Schizosaccharomyces pombe: one gene and its partners. The gene in region 1 interacts genetically with each later gene. Each region holds a gene or a part of one and is shown in the gene's direction. Other genes may lie near its edges.

What was found.
Region 2: mutations in tol1 (region 1) and qcr8 together harm fitness less than expected from each alone (positive genetic interaction), as found in Schizosaccharomyces pombe (one large-scale study listed by BioGRID).
Region 3: mutations in tol1 (region 1) and plt1 together harm fitness more than expected from each alone (negative genetic interaction), as found in Schizosaccharomyces pombe (one large-scale study listed by BioGRID).
Region 4: mutations in tol1 (region 1) and yps1 together harm fitness more than expected from each alone (negative genetic interaction), as found in Schizosaccharomyces pombe (one large-scale study listed by BioGRID).

Annotation. Positions count from the first base shown.
Region 1 is NC_003421.2:1,546,126-1,551,897, forward strand, and holds tol1 (3'(2'),5'-bisphosphate nucleotidase/inositol-1,4-bisphosphate 1-phosphatase), read left to right. Parts: upstream 1-3,778; 5' UTR 3,779-3,878; coding exon 3,879-4,940; 3' UTR 4,941-5,272; downstream 5,273-5,772. Other genes in the region: meiotic recombination protein Rec7, read right to left, coding at 1,763-2,515, 2,621-2,734, 2,792-2,944; zinc finger C3HC-type containing RNA export factor Rsm1, read left to right, coding at 5,569-5,772. UniProt on the Schizosaccharomyces pombe protein: Phosphatase that converts adenosine 3'-phosphate 5'-phosphosulfate (PAPS) to adenosine 5'-phosphosulfate (APS) and 3'(2')-phosphoadenosine 5'-phosphate (PAP) to AMP. May regulate the flux of sulfur in the sulfur-activation pathway by converting PAPS to APS.
Region 2 is NC_003424.3:4,763,825-4,768,929, forward strand, and holds qcr8 (ubiquinol-cytochrome-c reductase complex subunit 7), read left to right. Parts: upstream 1-3,231; 5' UTR 3,232-3,285; coding exon 3,286-3,317; intron 3,318-3,506; coding exon 3,507-3,524; intron 3,525-3,569; coding exon 3,570-3,783; intron 3,784-3,886; coding exon 3,887-3,901; 3' UTR 3,902-4,082; downstream 4,083-5,105. Other genes in the region: ypa2 (serine/threonine-protein phosphatase 2A activator 2), read left to right, coding at 625-1,683; prohibitin Phb1, read right to left, coding at 2,142-2,990; exonuclease Rex3, read right to left, coding at 4,083-5,105.
Region 3 is NC_003423.3:3,384,724-3,391,660, forward strand, and holds plt1 (phosphate transporter), read left to right. Parts: upstream 1-2,894; 5' UTR 2,895-2,976; coding exon 2,977-2,993; exon of another isoform or gene 2,994-3,039; coding exon 3,040-3,084; exon of another isoform or gene 3,085-3,139; coding exon 3,140-3,160; exon of another isoform or gene 3,161-3,308; coding exon 3,309-5,829; downstream 5,830-6,937. Other genes in the region: SPOM_SPBC3B8.06 (uncharacterized protein), read right to left, coding at 1-291; diphthamide biosynthesis protein Dph1, read right to left, coding at 1,196-2,302, 2,391-2,594; mitochondrial F1-FO ATP synthase peripheral stalk assembly factor Ina17, read left to right, coding at 6,245-6,346, 6,455-6,581, 6,628-6,659.
Region 4 is NC_003421.2:976,897-983,448, reverse strand, and holds yps1 (yapsin Yps1), read left to right. Parts: upstream 1-2,514; 5' UTR 2,515-3,270; coding exon 3,271-4,836; 3' UTR 4,837-5,222; downstream 5,223-6,552. Other genes in the region: vid21 (NuA4 histone acetyltransferase complex scaffold subunit Vid21/Eaf1), read right to left, coding at 1-1,900, 1,958-2,238, 2,321-2,329; protein SVP26, read right to left, coding at 5,325-6,008. UniProt on the Schizosaccharomyces pombe protein: Cleaves at paired basic residues.

The DNA of each region.
Region 1 (5,772 bases):
AACTTATGAAAAAAATTTGTAGTATCGCTGTAAACGAAATTTTTGTGTAAGAATGACGAGAGTTGTTTTTGCACAGACAAACGAGGTTCGGACGATCGGCCTATTTTTTAAGTACGATAGTGATTAGTATAGTATATCGTGAGGAGCAAATACAATCGCATAAAAAAAATCAGGGTGAAAAGAATCATTTCAGAGTGCGTTAATGAGAAAGTCCTCGTTATAAAAGAAAAAAAGGAACCGATGATTTAAAGTTATTGATGGTTTTAAAAAACAGCGTTTATTTTTACAGTGTTTAAAGTCAAGTCAATATTAGGCACAAGAAGAGGTCACACTTTATTTTCAAAAGAAAATGGATGAAATGCAACTCCATGCGTTGCGATAAGCGTTAAACACCAATCTAGGAAGCAGTCCCTCAACAGAAATGAAGCGAAAATCGAATGATGGTGAGAATAGAATAATAAAACGAGCCCCGGTAAATTGAAAGTTGATAGAATCAAGTTTCAATTAGGGGTAATGAAAACGTGCTTAAAAATAGGGAGTAATGTTGTAGTTACCAAAATGAACAATTCGGACCAGACCAATAAATATTGTCGAAATAAAACAAGGAGTGTTAAATTTTATTATTATGTCTTTATTCTCCTTGGAAACCGGTTCGTCCACGTGAAGAGAATTCTATTAGCATTGTCGAAACCGTTTGATCCGGTTATGCCTTCATATCTTTGAAAACATTTCCGCCAATTCCACCAAGTGAAAATCACAATATCGTTAGTCGGTATTGTCTTTAGGTTTACTAGCGGGGGCGTTTTTGTTTTGAGGAAAAAAGAATATTCTCTGGTTTCCATCTACCTTAAGTGCCGATTAGGCAGATAAGCTAGATTAAGTGAAATGGGAAACGGGATTCATTTTCCATTGACAACACTTTTAAACATTATTTGATAATTCGCATGCAACCCTTCAAAGTCGATTCGACATTTTAAGGTTTACTTCACGGACATTGAAATCATTGTGAAGCTTTGTAGACTGTTGTCTCTCTCGGAAGTACCCAAAAAAAAAAAAAAAATCCTTTTTACACTCATAACGTTCTAGCTGTTTCATCCCTTTAAAAAATATCATGTTTTTTTTTTGGTGCTCGGAACATTTACTTTCTCCACTTGGTTCGTCTATTTTTGAAGTTAAACTAACTATTTGACCATTTTCGTACTTAATGTCATGAACTCCTCTCGTGGATTGTTAAGTCAATTATCAAAACCAACCACCAACTCAATTTTAACCGTTGTAACCTGACCCATTATTAACACTAGTATTCATGCTGTACTTGCGGCAATTCCCCCATCAAAAAGTTTTCAGAGTTGTCTTTTGATACCGATTATGTGTCGTGGTGGAGGCTTACACCCCAAGGATCGGAACGGGATCTTCTCAATTTGATTTTAATGCTCTGCATGGACAAGCCTAAGGGAAAAGAGTCATGCAACAAGTAGAGAAATTTATTTCAACATTGTTGTGTTGGCGGTTTCTGTTTGCTAATCCTCAGCAACGATCATATGCAGTTGAGATCTCGACCAACTTTTCGTTAAATAATGTCAAAATTTGCAACAAATGTTTTATCACGGTACTCGAAGAATGTGAACTTAATGAAGTTTCTCATTTGGTTGCCAAATTGTGGTCACACATCAATTTTGTCGAAATAACCATTCCGATCCTGATTTCGTTCCATTTTTACTACTTTTTTAAATTTGGGATTAAGTTGAATTGGTCTGTCTTCCTACATCTTGTTCCATACCCGTTCCAAACTTTGACATAATTGGATGAAGCTGTCTTGTTTTAGATAGAATAATACCTTGGAGCGTAATTGCTTTTCCTCTTCAGTAAGTTCTGTTGGTAGGATTTGTGAAGTCGTTGGGGGTGATGGAATCAAATTTGCGTATGCTTGGTTCTCCGGTTGAGCAACCCACGAAGCCTGTGTCTGAGAGTTCAGCGGCGTAGCAGCAATAATGGGGTATTGTGAGTTTGCACCGTAAGAGTAGGCATTACGATTGGGATTAAAAGGTGATGAAGTTATCACCACGTTTTCATCCCAAGTGGGTTGTTGTGACGCAGTAATACTTTCAATTGATGTATCACTTCGAAGGGGCATTTGGGTCATGCCCGCATCCCCGCGGAATCGCTTAAGCGGTGGTGTATTGGAGAAGATTTCAGCATTTGGCATGACATGCTGCAGTGGTGCTGGATTGACATAGTTTGTGCTATTGTTCACAGCAGTTGTTGCTGTTTGGGTCATGGGGATATAACTCGGTTGTAATAAAAGATTTGGCTGTTGCGCCGATGACTTGTTATATGCATTGTTCATCAACGAAAGTTCCTGTGAGTTATTAGATTGACTTTGGGAGTTATTGAATTGCTTCTTCTCAGAGGAAGACTTTGCATCTTTGAACACCAGGCCTAGCTTCTCAAATTCAACTTTGGCTTTCATATAATGCACGTCAGATGGGAATTTCACTTGAAATCTTTTCATCACCTAAATTTATTAACAACAAAATACGCTTCATCAACACTCCATTTTTTTTTTTAAAAAAAGAGGCCTCAATGTGATTTTGAATAAATCTGCTTTTGTTTTACTTACATTATTAGTGAAAGCACGAATATTCATACACGGAGCGCGTGAAAGCAGAGTTAGACATTTTTCCTTCGTTCCCGGTATCAATTGGTGCCAGAGATCTAACAAGTTTATACTTTGCTGTTTGTTTGTTAAAAATATTGAATTTTTCTAGCAATATGGTTTCATGTCGCGTACAATTAATTCTTCGTGTTGACGAATTTGAAGCAATCCAGACGTTAATGAGAGTGTAAAACCTCCATCTGAATAATGTGACCAGTTGATATGGGAGGAATCTGTAGTATACGAATCCTCAGCTACAGAGTACTTAACAATTGGGAAAATGTTCATGTTTGTTTATGTTTGAATATGAGAAGACGCGTTAGACTGAACCTCATTTATCTGATAACGCAGTACGTTCCGTCACGGTGTATTACTTTTGTTTACATTTATGAGTTGACCTGAAAACGACTAGACTTTATGGAATGTAAGTCTTGTTATCACAATATATTACATATGATTGTAATTTGCCATAAGGAAACTATTTCTTCAATCTGTATTGAGGAATATCTGATTGTTCATTAATTTCTCAAGTCTCTTCAAACAACAGTATTTTGAGAGAAAGGAAATTTTATGAGCAGTTTCTTCTTTTACTAATCAATCCCTTTAAAATATTTTTATGCCTTCATTTCATCCTTGGTATCTACACTTATATAAAAATTTTAGGCATATTTGCCTGTTAAAGGGAAACGCAAGATACGGACTTGCACTGCTTTTAAATTATGCGTTTTTTCCATCAGAATGATATTTTTTTTCCTTAATATTATATTTCATCCTTTCTCCATAGGTTGGAAGGGTTGGCGAACTGCTTTGCCAATACCCAGACTTTAGTAGTGTCGTTTGTATAATTAATGAAAACCTAAAATGTGGACATGGAGAAACCTGTTTTAAAATATTAACATGCTCTTTTCACAATAGAAACTACATAATCATTATTGTTTAATAAAAGTTAGCATAACCTGCGATTTTACAAAAAAAAAAGGTCTTTTAGTCAGAAAAAATGAAACTCTTTCTCGTTTCATAACAATTTTTTAGTTCTTTCTTCTATTTGAACAATATTTTTGGTTAAATGTGGAAACGTCAATTAAACACCGTATATGCTGATTTCATATTCTTCGCACTTCCACTGCCCAGGTTTACAAAAATTTCCAAACTCCGTGTTAACAGGAAATTTGGTGCTAAAATCATACCTCCATTAATAAATAACATTAGAAAATTATTTACCATGAGCTTTGATGCCGAAAAACAATTAGCTATTGCTGCTGTGCGCAGAGCTAGCTATTTGACCGAAAAAGTGTTTAATCAACTTATCAAGGAGAAGAGTGCTGCTGGGGCACTTACTAAAGATGATAAATCACCTGTGACTATTGGCGATTTTGGTGCTCAAGCTATCGTAATCTCTATGTTAAAAGATGCATTTCCCAATGATCCAATTGTTGGCGAAGAGGATTCCGACTTTTTGAGAGAAAACACCCAAACCTGCTCTCGTGTTTGGGAATTAGTTCAAGAAACTATCCAACATGCTACTGAATACAAAGAGCTTGGTCAAATCAAGTCAGCTGAAGAAATGATGAGCATTATTGACCAAGGATCATATCACGGTGGTCGCAATGGTCGTATGTGGACTTTGGATCCCATTGATGGAACTAAAGGATTTCTACGTGGTGCCCAGTATGCTATTTGTTTAGCTTTGATTGAGAATGGAAAACCTGTGGTAAGTGCCATTGGATGCCCTAATCTTCCATATGACTTTAATCAGCCCGAGACAAGTCCCAAAGGTATCATAATGTCCGCTGTTCGTAACCATGGTTGCTTCCAGTATTCTCTCCATAACGAAAAATTAGAACCAGTTCAAGTGCACATGCAAGATGTTCAAAACACCAAGGATTCAAAATTTTGCGAAGGAGTAGAGGCTGGTCATTCAATGCAAGGAACTCAAGAAGAAATTGCAAAGTACTTAGGGATTACTCGTGGACCTACCAAGATGGATTCTCAAGCCAAATACGCTAGTCTTGCTCGTGGTGATGGTGACATCTACCTTCGTTTACCAACCAAAATGACATTTGAAGAAAAAATTTGGGATCATGCTGGTGGTTCTCTTCTTGTTGAAGAGGCTGGTGGTGTTGTTTCTGATATGTTTGGCAAACCTTTGGACTTTGGTGTAGGAAGAACTCTTAAGAACAATAACGGTGTTATAGCCGCCTACAAAGGTATTTTTGAAAAGGTAATTGAAGCTACTGCAGCTGTAACATCTAAAGACCCTCACTTTCAAAAGGTCGCCCAATAATCTGTCCGAAATATTCTAGCTTTAGGGCTTTATTTAGATTTTTCAGCATGTTAGCATATGCGTTATCGAGGATTCTACAAAAAATGTAATCTTGAAAATATTTACTTGCCATAAGCTTATGATTAGCTCCTTTTAATTAGATCAAAACAATTAACAACATGTTATATGTCTTTATGGATGACATATTTTATTTACCTTAAATTATGGATTATATAGTAGCAATGTTTAATTGTTCAGGTATAGTTACACAGGTCAGTATGAATAGGTTAATTGTATAGTTATTTTCCATATTACCTTACTATTTTACTTTTAGTATTCTCGTAAATTTACTATACGGTGGTGTTGATCAATTTCAAGGAATTTATGCCTTCAAGTGTGGTTTGGCTAATAACATGGACATGTTTTCTTAAAACGGTAAAACTTTTTAACAATTTTGATGAAACGAATATTGAGCTCATGATCCAAATTGGTATTTTGAGATCCTTCCTAAGTACTTTGACTTGCGCTACCTTGATTCCTGCTGAAAACGTTTGGAAAAGGCATGTAATAAAAGTTTTCTATGATAATATTTGAGACACCACATTTTTCGAAAAGAAATATAATTTTTTAACTCTTAGAACGGGTGATAATGTCATTTCCTACCGATATGGAGACAAATGAAATTTTGGATCAGTTAGACAAAATTGACGAAAGAAATGAAGATATTCTTTTAAAGTCTCTAAAAGCTTCTAAATGCACATATAAGCCCTGGAGCAGAGAAGAGTTTTTGAGACGATTGTTGACTTATAGAAGTCGGTGGGCTTATGTAAACGATCCTCAAATTGGTGAGATA
Region 2 (5,105 bases), on another chromosome or scaffold:
GGCTTTTTTAACAAGGAATACATTTTCTCTCATGTATATTCTATCCTTTAATGTTCCGGTATGAGACAATTAGGTCGGTGCTTTTTTCTTGCGATAAAATCATTAAACAATCCGCGTTTATTTAACTATTTTCAAAAAGCGGAGCACTTATTTGTTTATGCCGGCTATCTCCTTCATATCAATTAGCTTCCCATGTCTAGTACTATTACAATACCTCCATCTTTGGCCCTTCCTTTTTATATTTTTAAATATTTGTCGATGGCTAGAATTAATGACATGTACACTTCATGTGAATCATAAATATGTTGTTGTATATCAAGCAATTAATAAACGCTTATTACACTGTATCTGTTTACACATAGAATAAAAGAACACATTGGTATGAAAAATAACTTTAGTAGTCGAAATTATTTCCTTAAAACAATTTTGAAAAAAAAAAAAAAAATTTCTACATTTCTTTCTTTAAAAAATGTTCTCACTGATTATAGCTAATTACAATAATGAAATGTAACGTACTGACGACTGACATAACAAATAACAACATAAGGAATATTGAAGAGCGTCCAACTGTATAATTTTTAAGGCTTTTGTTAATCTTGTCTTAACCGATCAAGTTATGCCAACATGCTTTCTAGAGAAGAGCAAAACCGGTGTTTCGTTCCTGTCCGACGAATTTTAGACAATGAAGACTTAAAATTATTTAAAGAAGGAGATGCTTATAAGTTAATTGATTCGTTTATTTGTGATCTTGACGAAGCTGTGAAAGACAAGCCTATTTCAGCTTCAATTCCGCAAAGCTCATCAATAGAGCATGTATTAAATATACTAGATCGAGTTGGAGAAATTAAACAGGAAAATCCTGCAATTGATAATATGGGGTCGAGGTTTGGCAATCCTGCATTTCAATCATTTTACGATCAGGTATACATTGAAACACCAAAGTTGCACCAAGTATTTGGAATTGAGCATAATGCGGCGATGGAGGCAGGTCGATATTTTTATGAAAGCTTTGGAAACAGAAAGCGAATAGATTATGGAAGTGGTCATGAACTTTACTTTATGTCATGGTTACTAATTTTAAAGCAACTAGGCATTTTTACTAAAAATGATTATCCAGCATTGGTCGTTCGAGTTTTTGTTAAGTATGTTGAATTGATGAGGTCTTTGCAAATTTTTTATACTCTCGAACCAGCAGGATCTCATGGTGTATGGGGATTAGATGATTTTCATTTCCTCCCTTTTTTGTTTGGTGCAGCTCAGTTGGTTAATCATAAATATTTGCGTCCCAAACATGTTAGAGATCCAGAAATTTTGGAGATGTGTCGCGCTGATTATATGTACTTAGGTTATGTTTACTTTTTAAATAAGTTGAAGCCTTCTGTTTCACTACGTTTCCATTCTCCAATGATTGACGATATTTCTGCCGTAAAGACTTGGTCTAAAGTCAACGAAGGCATGATAAAAATGTATAGAGCAGAAGTTTTGGGTAAACTTCCTATAATGCAGCACTATCTTTTTGGCCATTTAATCCCAGCTTCACCTGGGATGTCTCCTGCTCCCCAAGACGGTGATGATTCTGAGGTGACACATGTTCATTCTCATTATGCTGACTGTTGTGGCATCAAGATACCAAGTGCGATCTCTGCTGCCAAAAATAATGGAAGTAGGATTCCGTTTGATTAAAAATTCTCGAGGGAAAAAAGGCGTTTTTAACGAATCTTCACGAATTTATGCGATACCCATATTTGTCTGTTTACTTTAAAAGTAATATCTAAAGTCAATAAAATTACCAACAGTACAGCATATTTGTTTATTTCATTATGCTAAAAAAACTCTACATAAACAATCAACCCTAATTTTAGCAGCATTAATATAGCCATTTCATCAGCACAAAACCCAAAATAATTGTCGTTTTAAAAATAAGGTGACAAATCATAATTTTGAGTTCTGAAATAAAAAAATTTGGAAATATTTATTTTCGTTAAGAACCCAAATTTGTCAAAATCATAATGCGTGGAAAAGTACAACTTTTATATAACATCTCTTTAATTTTAAAGGGATAATAAGATAAAGCTGATATGTTTAGGGGAGCTCGAATAAACCTTATGAATTTGCTGCTAGAAGCAGATACATGGAATGAATTAAGGATTTACATTAAGAAGCAACCCAGAACCACTGGAACTTTGGGCATTAGAACCAGCTCCAAAGGGAAGATAAGTGACCTGTGCACCTTTATTAGCAAGTGCAGTAGCCACCTCTTTACTTGTCTCGAGACGACGAATTTGGATTAAAGCGCCACCGGCTTTATCAAGTGCTTTGGAAACAATATCAGCCGCTTCTGCTTCACCCTCAGCGCGAATAACATTAGCTTGTCGCTCTTGTTCGGATTGTTCTACTAAAAATCTAGCACGCTCGGCTTCTTGTTGAGCAATTTGTTTTCTCTCTACGGCTTTCGTAAATTCTTTTCCAAAAGTCATATGAGTAATGGATACATCTTCCAACCGAATTCCAAATTCGGTAGCTCGTTGAACTAGTTCTTGGCGAATTTTGGCAGAAACTACTTCTCTTTGAGTAATGAGCTCTGCTGCATCAAACTGAGCAACTACGGATTTTAAAATTTCGTTTCCAATAGAAGGTAAGACACGCTCATCATAATCTAAGCCTAAATTTTGGTAAATTTGAGGAAGCATTCCAACTTCGGGACGGTGTAATACACGCAATGTTAAAGAAACCATCTGTAAATCTTTACTACCCGTAGTAGTTGCGATATTTCGTGGACGTGTGCGTACATCATAAACAATTGCCTTTTGTAACCATGGAATCAAAAAGTGTGTGCCCTCCTGAACAACCTGTTTCTGCACACCCGACAGACGGTCAAACAAAACTGCTCTTTTTCCCCCCGGTACATCGTAAATCGAAGATTGTAATAGAGTAAATCCAATACCTATTGGTATTGCATAACGTGCAACTCTCTCCAGTACTACAGCCATCTCTTTAATAGTACGTTGAGCGCTGGACTAAAAGACCAAACTGAAAGGGAAGTCCGTTTGAGCAAGACTAAGTATGACTTAACTGCAACCTCTAGGAAAATCTATATTCATGATTAATAAATACATGATCTTATTATTTAGAATTTTAATAGTAAAACTAAATAAAAATCTTGAATAAAAAACCAAGAATTTGTAAACGTCTGAATTATTATTGGTCTAGCAGACCCGCACACTTACCCTTAACAAACATCTGACTTTGTAACGGCAATCATCAATATATTATTGTTTTAACAAAATGGGTGGTGCTGCTGGAGGAAAAACTTATTTGTAAGTGCAACTTAAAGCAGTTTCTGTTTATAATGGGTTATATGACTTTTCTTTGACGCTTATAGCGTGAGACGGTGGACACAATTGGTGTTTATTTCGTAAAGCCATTTTCGTCAGCGAAGTTATATACATTCAAATAGCTGCTGAGAATATCATTGAACGTTTTTATTTATACTAACACATGAATAGAGGATGGTGGGGCCATCTGTAAGTGCTATAACAATTTGATACATTTTTACTTACTTTAATAAGAGGTGGACCTAAACAAAAAGGAATCATAACATATTCCCTTTCCCCATTTCAACAGAGACCAATGGCCGGCTTCTTCAAAACTTCTACGCAAAATATGTTTCGTCGCGTCATGACTGAAGGTCTATACGTAGCAATTCCGTTTGGAATAGCTTACTATATTTACTGTTGGGGGAAGGAGCGTAATGAATTCCTCAATTCCAAACATGGAAGACACGTAAGTTAATGACTGAAGAATCGATAAGCAGCTATGGTTTGCAGCATTTTTCTATACTTCTAAATTGTGTCAATAATTGTCATTTTACTAATATGTGGTTTAGTTGGTGGAGGAATAATGATGAGAATGAAGTATTCATTTTGGTAGAAGGATTTACAAAATTCTTCCCTACCCTTTCCTTATTGGGTTTACAATTACTATCTCTCTCCTCTCATTATGCTTAGTATCAGAAATCTATATATCCAACAAAATTACTTTGTGATATGATCTATCTCTTGAATTTGAAAACATTATTACTCTTAGTTTTGACTTTCATTTGATTTTGTCTTATAAAAGACAAGTTGTAATGCTGAAACAGCGTCTTCTTCGCTATCGTGTGTAGAAGTTTGTATTGTTGTTCCCAGATATTTTTTAGTCAAATATTTTAAGGAATATCTAAACGGCGGGCCTCTGGCATGCGTAAATAGAAGAGCAGTATCTATGACACGTTTGTGAATAAGCCTCATCGCATTCAAATCGTTTTCTAAACCATGTCCTATTAAAATTGTATTTTTATTCATGCCAAGTTCCTTTATTTTAATATACATTTGATCCATGGTAATTCCTGATTCTAATTCTTTGGCATCATGTATCCCGCTAAATCGAGTATTGAGACTCAAAATTTTGCCTTTAGGCTTTATAAACACATCCATAATAATGCTTTCCTTTGCTACCACCGTCAAACGAGCCAATTCCATCCCGTTCGTAGTGTAGCATAGTTCACAATCTAACGCGCAATGACTTAATTGCTTGCTATTTGTACTGTCTGGTAAGTAGGAAAATGGATGAACGCTAGCAAGATACGGAAGATGTCGGTATTTGAACACATGGTTGTCTTCTATAATACAACCAGACGAATCGCCCTCTTTTACACCACAGCAAGTGTATGTACGAATCTTCTCCCCCCCTTGCTTTTCACGAAACAGTTTTCCCCAATGATATGTACATGGTCCTCGAGGATCCGCAAACCGTGTACCACATCGATCGCATTCACGAAGTTCATCTGGCGGGTTTACTGGTGCAACGTCTCCAATATTATATCCCCATAGAATCAATTCTTCTTCCGAATGAACAAGTGACTCAAGTTTCTCATCAGGAGTTGATCCTTGTATTTCATTTTTCTTCGGAGCTTTCTTAAGAGATAAAATTTTAGACTTGCAGGAGGAACTGTATATCATTTTACTGTTTGCAGTTTCACAAATATTTTTTTCATCGAGAAGAGCAAGCATACTACTTTCTGCATTGGAATAGCCTAAATCCTTGTAAGACTCATATAACAAATG
Region 3 (6,937 bases), on another chromosome or scaffold:
TACAGGTCGATGAATATTTCCTTTGTAATAATTTTCAGGCGATGCTTTGTGATGACTTATATGAGCAAAAATATACCCAATAAGGGTCAAAATAACATATACAATTTGTACGGGTATATGTGCTTTACTTTTCGCCATAGCGAGTACAATTCCAGCAGGAAGGATAAATACATAAGCAATTATCATGCAAATGATATGAGCCATAAGAAATTTGTTCATGTGATTTGCATAATTTTCGAAATCAATTTCGATGGGATTATCTCCCGTGGAATTCATGTGCATTCCATCCATTTTTTCGCTTTTTTTTGCAAAATGTTCAGAAAAAAGTTAACTAATTGGTGCCAAAATTAATTTTGGAAGAAAAAAATTTGTTCAAATCAAATAAAAGGGAAAACCGAGTTGGGTTAGCAGCTCTACTTTATTCCTTTTTCTTTTATATTTATAAATTAAACCCTGAAAACTGAGTTCCTTAAAGCATCAAACGCATGAACTATTAGTTAGTTCACTTCTGGCTTCAATTGGAACTTTTAGAATCTAAAAAGAGTTAATAACACTTCTGCCATCATCGATATATATGCAAATCAAGTGGAGTGATTTTTGCGCAGACATATCCGCTCCGGTATCATAGCATGAAATTCTCTCATCAAAATGTGTTAACTTGTAATATGATGCTATTAACCTACCTTTTTATTATATATAAGTATATATAACAACACTATTAGAAGGGAGAAAAAGGGATTCACTTTGAGAATGGGTTATGGGAGTGTTTAAGCTGAATCGGACGGTGACGGAGTGATAACGATCAAGAACATTCCTATTGGCTTACTTGGCTAAGCATCCTGAACCTATCTGCAGCTACTAGAACTACTCACATAAAAAAAGTTAGAACAACATAACAAGAAAAAAATTTCGCATTGCTTGTGTTGATTTTATAACCGCCATGGAACAGGGGGGTATGCTGGACACATTCAATCGTTACTTTACAACATGTAGGGCTGGTTACTTATAAATTTCCTTAAAATGAGGGACGCGCCTGCCGGTGCATAGTTTAAATATAAATATATTAAAGCAGTAGTTTATGTAATACATATTGTATTTATCAGATGAGAATTCTATTGGTATTTTAATAAACCTATAAAGAACAATATAAGGGTTAAAAAATAACAAGTATTAGTGCCATTAATGGCAAGTAGCGTTAAGAAGAAACGGGTCCGGTTTTTTTGCGATTTGGCAGAGGTCGATTTTCGGGATTATTTGGAGTCCAATTACCTAATGAATTGGTAGCGTAAAAGTCCATAGGATAAACTTCCTTCCAAGGAACAACATTAAAAGCAGCAGATGCTTCATATGGTGTCAACAATGGAGCGGGAAATGCATAGCCCCAATCTATGGAAAGCCTTGGACAAGCGACCTGAATCCACGCGTCAATATCAGAGAATTGACCCAATCTACTAGGAAAAATTTCTGACATTAAAACGCAAACGAAATCTTTATTATTTTTCCTTAAAGTATTCTTTAAATTTTCGAGTACCTTAGGAGACCCCTGTCGACCCAGTGTACCTTGAATTAGACCGAACTTTTTAGCGGTACGAGCTTTCTCAACGGCGGAATACCGAATAGATTTCATTTCTTCATGAGCATAAGATTCAATAGAGAGCTTATGTGAGTAAGGATCATAGCGGTATGCGGGCAAATCAGGATTAGCAATCATGACAGATTCCAAATGGAATCTTCCGTCACCAATGTAAATTAATGCATCTACAGATCCTTTTTCAATATAGGGAGATGTACATCCCAACGCCTCTCCAGGAGATAATGGCTTTGCTTGTGGAATAACAACGTAAAAACCTCCCTTTCCGTCTTCATCCTGTATTTGCAAAGCGTCTTTTATAGAGTTGAGAGATCCAACAAATTGGATAGTTCCAACCAAAGCTAACCTAGAATTGGAGGGTAGATTATGTTTTAAAGATGATACGACATGTTGCAAATCTATCTTTATATCCACGAAAACATATAGCACCTTTATGGGCGTTTGATCAACAGGTATAAGACAAGAATGACCATAGTGTACTAAAAAATCGCAATCGAGTGCCCTAGCTGTAAAATCGTCAATACAACACGCACCGTATGTAACGTCGCCCATCACAATTGTCTCGACCTGGCAAAATTGTTCAAAAATATCAGACAATATACAACCAAACATCAATAGCCCCTCGGGAAGTTGCAAGGCAACACGTTTTGCTTTTCGTAAGCGAATATGCCAAATGGTTTTGTGAATTTCAAAATTGTAATTTTGCGGTAACTATTAAAGGTTAGCTGACCAAGCTTTGATGTTTTTGAGAAAAGAAGAAACTAATTTACGGCATCTTTCTCTAATAAAAGCAGCTTACCAATTTTATAGCTTCATTAATTGCTTTATCGTTTAATATATCCTCTGGGATTTGAGTAGCTACTCGTCCAGCGCTCCTCTTGGAGTTAATAGTGACGAGAGCAGCATTTTCAACATCTCTATTAGAACCATCCAAATTATTTTCCTTCCTATTTTTTTTGCCAACAAAACGACGTTTTGGAATTGATTTTTTCACTTCCGCCATTGTGTTTTAAAATTATAAAGTCTATTACTAAAACCCTTTGAAATCCCAAGAAGTAACCAATGCTATGTATGTATTTAAATTGATAGAATGCCAAAAATCCTTTTTCCCTGCAAATTGCTTGTTTGTTAAATTAAAATACAATAGGATCCCAAATAATTTACTAAGTAAAAAAGCATTGCACTTTGCTATATTATTTAACACACGTTGTTATATTACGCTATTTCTATCGGAGGTTGGATCCACGAATACAGCTTCACCTCCGATCATAGGCCACGAAATTTGAACGGCTAACGCTCCTTTAGATTGTTCCAAATTAATTTGCGTGAATAAGCTAAAGCTGTTTTTAGTCACAATTGAAGTTAAATGACCTCTGTCATCCAAGATGAAATTCAGTCATAGGTTTGTTGCATCAGTTTTCACAAGACTTGTTCTAATTACTTTTTAGTCTTCAATTTAATGCAGTACCGGAATGGTCCGAAAGCTACATTGCGTAAGTAAACAACCTGTTGGATTACTTCCGATTTTTGCTAACAATCGGTGCTTAGTTACTCGAACCTTAAGAAGCTGTATGTTTGAAAATTCTCGAGCTTACGACTGGCTATTATGATATATCCTATATTCCGACAAATTCATACTTGCGAAATTTGGGATAATGTCTGATTAACAGCCGGAGAATAAAATTGTACTTGAATTTTGCTAACATATATTTTTAAGTATTTATTCATTGGAACATGAACAGATAACATTACAACAAGGCGCTCCAGATGAAGAAACTAGGCTGTTAGAGCACGAAAGAAGATCACCCGATGATCGCTTTATGTTTGCTTTAGACAAGGAATTACAAGGAATTGTTGAATTTTATGCTCCTAAAGAAAAAGAAATTGCTGATCAGTATGGTAGAATTAAGGGCGAATTTGAAACCTATGAGAATGAGTATATGAGTCAGGGAAACAACATTAATTACCCTACCCCTGAACGATTACAAAAGAGCTCAGCGAGTAGGAAATCTGGTCGTATGGCCCGCAGCCAAGAATTGCCTCGCATTACTTCTTCAAACCGTGAGATATATCTCAATGGGCAAACTAGTGATGGAGGTTATGCGGCCCCTGCTATATCTAGAGCAGAATCTACTGCTATTCAACCGTCTGAACCTCATGATGTCGATACTTCTAAAAACGGTTTATCAAAAAAACAACATTCAGAAGCTCAACCTGAGGTACAAGGCAATGATGATGAGGTGGAGGAGGAAGATGATGATGATGATGATGAAGATGAGGACGAAGATGAAGACGAAGATAACAACAATAACAATCGATGGTTGCTTATTGAACAATATCCATCTGATATTGTTGCGTACGAAAACTTCGTTTCTTTAAAGCGAAAACTGACACAGTTGTATGTTTCAATTCATGACTTGATTTCGTACGTCCATCTTAATTATACTGGTTTTTCAAAAATCTTAAAAAAATATGATAAAACTTTGGGTAGTAGCCTTCGTGAATCGTACATGAAGCGCGTCAACCAAGCTTACCCTTTCCTTCCTGCTACTGGGAAAACATTGTCAAAGCGTTTAAATATTGTTGCAGAGTGGTATGCTAAGCTATGCTGTCAAGGCGATACATTTGTGGCTATCCGTCGCCTTCGTGGTCATCTTCGTGAATACGTTGCATGGGAAAGGAACACTATTTGGCGTGAAATGATGGCTATGGAGCGTCGTACTCAGGCCGCGAGATTATCAGGACTGAAGCCTGTCGCAGCTGATGAGAAAGAATCAGAACAGCCCCCCTATTTTACAATCAAAACTAAATTTGGTGTTTTTAGAATCCCAAGATGCTTCTTTAATAGCACGATTGCAACTTTAATTACTATTATCGTTATATTTATTCTCTTATTAAGTTTTCCTGTCATAGATAATAGGGAACAGAACAATTGTTTGGCTTTGTTAGTAATGGTTTCTTTATTATGGGCTACGGAGGCTATTCCTTTGTTCGTTACTTCGTTTTTGGTTCCTTTTATGACTGTGTTTTTGAAAATTTTGAGAGATGAGAACGGTTCACCTCTTTCTGGAAAGGAATCAACAAAGGTTATATTTAGTTCGATGTGGAATCCAACTATAGTTTTGCTTTTAGGAGGTTTTACCATTGCAGCTGCTCTAAGCAAATATCATATTGCTAAAAGGTTGGCGACTTCCATTTTAGCGCATGCAGGGCGTAAGCCTAGAAGCGTGCTTCTTACAAACATGTTCGTTGCCATGTTTGCTAGTATGTGGATTAGCAACGTTGCTGCGCCAGTGTTGTGTTTTTCTATTATTCAGCCCCTTCTGAGAAATTTACCAGCAGAGTCCGATTTTGCAAAGATACTAATTGTGGGTATTGCTTTGGCATCTAATGTTGGAGGTATTGCTTCGCCTATTTCATCCCCACAAAATATTGTTGCGCTACAGAATATGGATCCCGCTGCGGGATGGGGTGAATGGTTTGCCGTCAGTATTCCTGTATCGTTACTGTGTATATTTTCTATATGGTTTCTGTTGTCTTTTGGATTACTGAAAGATGAGCACATCACTTTAGCTAAAATTCGCTCCACCAAGGATACATTTACTGGTGTCCAATGGTTTATTTCCATTGTTACGATTGGTACTATAGTCCTTTGGTGCCTTGAACGCCGCTTCGATGAGGTGTTTGGTGATATGGGTGTTATTGCATTAGTCCCAATCATTGTATTCTTCGGAACAGGTTTGTTAACCAAGGAGGATTTTAATAATTTTTTGTGGACAGTCATAGTTTTGGCAATGGGAGGTGTTGCGTTAGGAAAAGTAGTGTCTTCTTCCGGCCTTTTAGAACTTATTGCCCTTAAAATAGGTAATGCTGTTTCTTCCCTTAATACATTTAGGGTACTGCTTATTTTTTCTGCTTTGACTCTTGTTGTTTCTTCATTTATTTCTCATATAGTAGCTGCAATGGTGGTACTTCCCATTGTCCATGAAGTTGGAAGTCGCCTTGCCGATCCTCATCCACGTCTTTTCGTTTTGGCTTCGGGAATGATGTGTAGTCTTGCTATGGCTTTGCCAACCAGTGGTTTTCCTAATATGACAGCTATCATGATGGAAAATGAAGCTGGCAAAAGATATTTGAAAGTTAGTGACTTTTTAAAAGCTGGTATTCCTGCCACACTAATTTCCTTCGTGATTCTCCTATTAATTGGAACACCAATCATGCGAGCACTTGGATTTTAACCTCCTAATTTGTAAACGGTACTGTATCTTTCTTTTTATAATTTTTGAGTCGAAGCATGTTCTGCTGCATAACACATTCATATTTGTCAATTCTACTTAAATAGATTTTAAATCATTGCATTCGAAGATAAAATTATGGTAGCTTAGTGTTCCTACGGATCTTAATGTATTTATATGTTCACTTTATAATACGATACAAAACAAATTTTATCTCTCCTTTGTTTCAAATTGACTGGCAAAAAAAAATAACAAATAACTAATCACAAAAACCTAAGGAATATGAAAAATAGTTGCTAATTTTCGTAGAAACTTGGATCTTGATTAGAAATGAACCAAATTATGCATCATTCAAATAGATTGTAGTGTGTATGGTGCAGCGGGAACGTTATAATTAACCATCACCTATAGTCTCAAAATGTTACGCAAATTGCCCATCAATTTTGCGAAATGGACTGTAAAAAAGGTGCCAGTTCAGCAGAAAAGATTTAATAGTCAACAAAAAGAAATCTCACCTCATGTAAGCTTTTCTAAATACGCTTTAGGTCATAAATTTTATCTGTGCTAAAATTCATTCAAGCATTTTTGCATTGTTTTATTTAACATTATTTTATTAACGATCATAAAGATTATGTTTTATAAAAACTACGCTAGACCTCTTGGTAAAGTGACGCTTTTTGCCTTAGCAACTTATTATGGATTGGAAATAGTTTGGTGGAAATTAGATGCATCAGAACAGGAAGCTATTAAAAACAGTAAGTTGTTGATATGTGAAAGCTCTTTTAGTTTGTTGACATTTAGGCGAATTACGGAATTTAGAGAATGCGAAATAAAAACACGAGATTTGTATGACCCAGAAATTTAGTAACGTATATGGCTTAAAGAAGCGAGATTACGATTTGTTAATAGTTCAGTATGTCAAAAATTCTTTGAATAGCTAAATGCTACAGACGAAACACTCAGTCAAAAGGTCCTCGAGTTGTTTGTTCAAATAATCGAGAAGAGGTTATTTTTTCTTCGAGTTTTACGTCGGTTACCTAAGACTAAATACATCTACTTAGAAAATACGAAAACCCCAAGTAAAGCTTCACATAAATAAGGTTGCAAAACA
Region 4 (6,552 bases), 570 kb from region 1:
TAAAAGGAGTTCATCTTCTTCGGGCAACCAAGGGGCTTCTGGACGAATATCTTTACTAGAAGGCGGATACGGAGGCCGCACACTAAAGGTTCCTACTGAGGATAGCTTCTGATTATCATCCTTAATTTTATTTCCATCTAGCTGGTTCTCATCGCTTCTCGCCTTCTTTTCCATAAACGACTCAGGTGGTGATAATTCCAATTGGTTGAACAAACGTTTCCTAGAAGCCTTTGCACAGGTGGATTTAAGCTTTGTTTTGGCATATGCAAAACGTGACACAGGAGTGATCGGGTACTTTTCAGATATTTCTTCACAATATTCATTGTTTTCAGTAGGAGGACCGTACATAGGAACGTTTAAAACGCAGTTCTGAATTTGTTCGGAGTTTGTTGTCACAAATATATCATCCGAAAAAACAGCATTATAAAACTGTAAAGAATCCCTGGGAATAGAGAGCACTTTGTTGTTATTATTATCATTTAGATTAAAATGGCTCACTATTTGTTCATTAAACGTTTCCTCGTGAGAGTCTTTCTGATGTTCATTCTCTTGCATGTACGGCTTCTTATTCTTTGACAACGAAGCCGGAGTACAAACAGTACATTTATCACTAGCTTGATGGTAATCCATTACCCAATTCGCCATTCTATGAGCCAATATAATTTTCCATTTACGCTCTTGAGAAAAATCAATTGACATCCATTGCATCTCATCCAAAACATAATCCCGATGAGTTTTCAATCGTGGCATCTCGTTTTGTCTTTTGGGCTGTCTAAAGGACCAAATACCTTTTTCTTTTGCAACCGTTAAATGATGTAGTGATTGTCGTACAATTTCCTCGCGATACGCATGAGACCAGTTATCTGATAGAACATATTTATGTGCATTTTTCAACCTTAAATGTAAAGGCGACATTTCTGTTCGAAGCAGCCATGCTTCTGAGGAAAGCTCTGGTTTCACCGGTTCAGAAAATTTTGAAGGAGGAATTAAAGTTAGTGGCATAGATACAGAAAGTTCAAAAAGCGGAGCTTCAACCCCAGTTCTGTCAATTGTAGGGGATTTTTCCGATGGTAACTTATTTTCCATTTGTAATTTACTAGGCTCAACAATTTCATCTACTGGCTTCTCGTTGACATCAACCGCTACTTCCTGAACAGGAGATTCAGTGGCCTTGTCAACGGAAATGATTTGTTGTTCCGAAGGAATCTCTTGATTATTTAATAATTGTATAGTTTTTTCAATATCAATACCTGATTGTACATTCTCAACATCATTTTCAGTGACCTTGGCTTCAGGAGAATGAACTTCTTCAACTTCATCAACCTTTGGGACTTTATCTTCAATTTCCAAAACTTCTGCAACAGTGACAGGGGGAGCCGTAGGTTCCGTTGTCTCTGATACCTCTTTCTTTTTCACTTCTTTAGACTCAACTTGATCAGTCGCAACCTCTACCGGTTTGGTAACGGTCACATTTTCTTCATTCCCATCTTCCTCATGTTCCTTTTCGGTAGCTTCAACCACTCTTAATTGCTTATCGACTCCTTCTTCTTGAGAGGATTTGTTTGCAAGTTCTTCGGTAAGCTGTCGAGCAGCATACTCGCTATCTGGCGTCAAAGGGCCTTTTTCCTCTTCAGCATGAGCAGTGGTTTCCACTTCTTTTACGGGTGTTGTTGGTTCAATAGTTTCTTTCTCTTCTACGTCAATATTTTTATGTATAGTTTCAGGTGAAGGTATGGGAGATTTTGACGTTATAATTTCCTCCTCGCTAAGTTCTAGGGAAGTTTCTTTTAAAGGTGTCTCCTCTGAAACTCCTTCCAAATTATCGGGTTCTTCGGGAACTATCGGTTCTTCAACGATAGGAGTTACAGATTCTCTAGCTGAAAGATTAAAATTTCGCCCCCTTGCATGTTAGTTGTACATTTGAGGAAAATACAAAAAGTTACTCAATGAGACATACCTTTTAAAACGATACTTTTGATAAAAGTTAAACCACTCAGAAACTTGCTCTGGTAAAAGATCACTTGATGAATGAAGCCATTCTAATCCATTAGGAAACTTGCAATGCAACCAAAATAAAAGAAGTAACTTTTCATGTTTCTCTTTTGTTAACTTAATCTCTTCATTGTCTACAGAGTCGTTTTCTTCTTCTTCGTCTAGAGTAAAAAGGGAGGCAAAAGAATCTGTTATCGATAATTTTTCACCATCGACTAAAGCAATTTGACTGGTTTTGGTCTCCTTCTTTTTAATTAAAAATATTAATTAGTTATCGAAGTACAATAAAATTATCACTTTAAGGCCCGTAAGACTCGTAAAAACGTACCTGTTTCATAATCCCAATTTAAGCGGAATTACGCTGGAAAAAGCATACAAATCGTATTCTAGAAAAGACACAGTTTTGCTTTTATATTTATTGTATGATGATATAAAGAACTCAAGGATCCTGTATACTTTCAGACCTAATGTGAACGAAGTTAGTCTGATGGTGTTGAGGCCCCCCAAGGGATTTGAGCCCGCAATCAACCACCATATTAGGTGAAGTAGAAAAACAAGGAAATAGCACTCTACTAGGACACAGTTTTGAACTACAAGTACAGCAATAAGACTGTCTTTTATTTTCGTCTTTTTGTTGCTCGGAGAAATCGCTTGTTCTATTTAAAAGTTGAGACGTTACCATAAAGGTTATCGGCATATTTCAAAGCTTTAAAAACGTTTCCCTTTCAACTTAAATTATTCAAAAATACATTCAGTTGAGCTACATGCCAAACCTACTATCATATCATTCTAAAAAAACTATCGTTAAGTGATCTATTTCTCCCTTATTTTCAATTTGTATTTATTATTTTACGACGTGCTAGGAATTGTGAAAGACTCTTATTTATGATCAAGTTTTTCTAGATTTTTGCGTTGCATTTGGTTTTTACATGCATCTATTGCTCATCCCTTGAGGATTATTTCCACTTTCTGTTGTGGATTTTCTTTTCTTTATAAAGCAAGATTGCCAAATTGTTGCTCCCAACATAACAAGGGATAATAACAATTCATCGTTGCTTTCGTTAAAACATTCTTTCATCAAAAGAACTCGGCACCTGCTCTTTATTCTACTTTGCATTTTTGTTTTAGTTCCGTTTTGCATATTCTTATTTCTTCTTCTCATATTACTTTATTCTTATTCTTTATTTCTCTTTTTATCTGATAATCACCTTGGTCATTTTAATTTACCTCTATGTAAACATTCTTGCATCTATATTTTCTTCTAATTATTTAAGGATTATGAGGATTTGGATTTTAATATTTTTCTCCTTCATTAAACTTGTCTCTTCGTTACAATATACGGGAAATGGTGTTTTAGCTTTGGACTTCGTTGCGAAAACTTTTCCCAACCAGGAAAATCAATTAGAGAAGCGTGACTATACTTATTCTCCATCTGGTATCACTTCATTTCCTTTAGATTTGCAGAGTTACACTTACTACACTACTACCCTTTCGATCGGTCGTCCGAGTATTTCGTACACTGTAGCTATAGATTTGGACATGCCGTACACATGGTTGACTTACTACAATGTAATGGCGTTTAATCCAGCGTATCTTGGCATAGTGAATAGTGGTACTCAGTGGAGTACGGATGAACTGCGATACTTTCTTTGTAAAAAAGAAAGTGATTCTTGTTATTTTGGGAATGCATCTTCTAGCTTCCATTTTGTTACGAGTCCAAGCACTTTTTTTATCCGCTATGACGATAACATTACAGTTGCTGGAATTAATGTTCAGGACTCCCTTTCTTACAGTCATTATCAAGCTTTACCGGACTTCCAATTCGGCATCACATTAAAGGAGTATGTTCCCAGTTCAATGCTGCCGTACAAAGGCGTGCTAGGTTTAGCTGCCAGTACCGAAATTAATTCAATAGATTATTCGGATTCCATTTCAAGTTTTTCACCACCAACCTTTTTGGAACAACTAGTTAAAGAGGATATATTGGCATACCCTGCTTTTAGTATGTATCTGGATAATCAGGGTAATGGAAGTTTACTTTTGGGAGCCGTGGATACGTCAAAGTACCAGGGACAGTTTGTCGCTTTGAAGCAGACTAAGCTTACGCATTACGCCGTTTCCATTTACTCTGTGCAGTTCTTAAACTCTACGTTCTTTTCTAATTATTCTATCATCACTGATGCATACTTTCAAACTCGTGAAACTTATATTTATTTGCCTGCCGAATTGGCTTACAGTGTGATGGATAATGCTGGTGCCTACTTATCCGAAGGCTATTTCGCATTAAACTGTGATGAAATTGATTTGGAAGCCGCTCTGATATTTCAATTTGGATGTAATTCAACTATCAAGGTACCGATATCGTTGCTAGTGATTGGGCAAGTTTCAAACATATGTCTTTTAGGTATTCGACCTTCGACGGATAGTGAGATTGTATTAGGTTTGTTATTTTTTCGAAACGCCTACACATTTTATCATCAAAGTCAAAAAATGATTGCCATTGGGCAAGCCTTTTATAACGCAACATCCAACTTGTCCGCCATCGTGGATCAACACATTCCTGGTGCTCTAACTTGTTCGCAATATCCTACGAGTGTGGCATCTACTCAATTGGTTCAGACTAGTCACTTCACATCCACATCGTTGTCTGCTGTGAATATTTCGGAAAGCGTCGTTTATTCCTATACAAGTAGTAGTAGTATGCCCTCTTCAGCTATTCCGTCCTTCAACATCTCTTTGATTTCTCAGAATGCGGTTGCAAATGCTGGAAATTCGTTTTCTCCGTTAAGTGCTATGGTCATTATGATGATGTCTGCTGTATTTTTAGGACTCGGTATTATATAGTCGATACTGATTAATTAAATGTGTATTTTATCAATTTTACAAGTGGCTAGGGTTTACTTGGATATATTTAGCTTTCTATCATGTTAATTTTTATTGATAAAATCGTTATGAACAAGACGTAAAAAACTCCGTTTCATATGAATATGAAAAGGCGTCATCTATTTCCTTTAAATGCATTTTCTACACGTCCGAGATGAAATTTAAGTCAAATTGACAATACAATTTCCATGTTGAAAAAAATAACAATAGGCAATCCTAAAGAACAACGACAAAACGTAAAAGAAGGATAATTTTGTTCGCTCAAACTGACCGAGAAAAAGTTAAAGTGTTGATGAAGAAAGTATGAAGAAAACTATATACAAAATAAAAGTCGAAAAAAAAAAGAGATGCAACATGTTGTGAGTAAATGATCACATAAGAAGTACAGACATTACAGTAAAGTTAAACGAATCCTTAATTTAAAAAGACAAGCATCCCTCAAACTCAACTCAGACGTAACGTTCACTTGAACGATCACTCAACCCCAAAGAGGTAAGACTACGTTCGACGAAGATACCTAACTTTTTATAAGCTTGTCGAAGTACATTCGACGTCCGACGAGATGATCCAGAAGAATAAGCATCAGGGGACGAGGAAGACGGGGTTGTAATGGTAGGAAGTGTATTGTCAGCAGCGGTAAAGGAAACAAAAATACCAATAGGAACAGACCATACGCATACCCCCATAAATGAAGCAACTTGTGAAAAGGAAGCACGAGAGGTCAAAAGGCGTTGACCAACAAAATCGTAAGTGAGTCCACGAGGTTTAATAGGGAATTCATGCACCTGGAAAAAGCGGACCCATAAGATATGATTCGCGACAATAAGGAAACATGCTAGCAAAAATCTCATTCTCTTAAATGAGAAGAAAGGAAAGGTATCAAAGTTGATTTTATAAATGTAATGACTGAAAATGGAGAATGCCGAGAGCCAAAAAGGAAAACCATCAAATATAACCAAAAACACCATTACCGCCATAATAAAATAAACCAACCGACATAAAAACGCCTTTGCGAGCCTAGAGTGCTCTTCTACAAACTCTGAAATGTAATACAAAGCTGATGCGATACTCACGGTCATGCCTATGAATCCCAAAACGATACCCAAGTACGACAGAGCATTAAGGACAATCATTTTGAAAAACGCTTTTAATTATGTCGTATCTAATAATCTTAACAAATGTGATTTTCTTTGGACTTCTTCAATATAGATAAATATGTTCGGATTTGTCGAATAAATACGGTTTTAATGCACAGCACCGCTTACAAAGCTTCTGCCTAAAGGTTTTAGCAATTTCTTAAGTTGCAAGGCACAATAAAAATATCAATTTCTATATTTTGTAGTATTGGTTGGTATGGGAAGACAGCAAAACCATGGCTGGTACTCCTGAATATCACTACGACCTTAAACAGAAAGCAAACTGTATGCTAATAATTGTAAATTTGAAAGTTGAATTTTCTTATTCCAATTAAAATGATTAATATGTATACTAAGTCTGCTATTTAGAGACGAGCATAACGGTGGTTTTTAGTTTTGGTGAGTGGCAATCGTGTACCTACATTACGGTGCCTAAATGTTTAGTTATATAGATTATAAATATATTTATATAGTAAAACCTTTCAATTAATTTTTATTCTTTAACGTAGTCAGATGATAGCACGTGTACTGACTTAAGGTT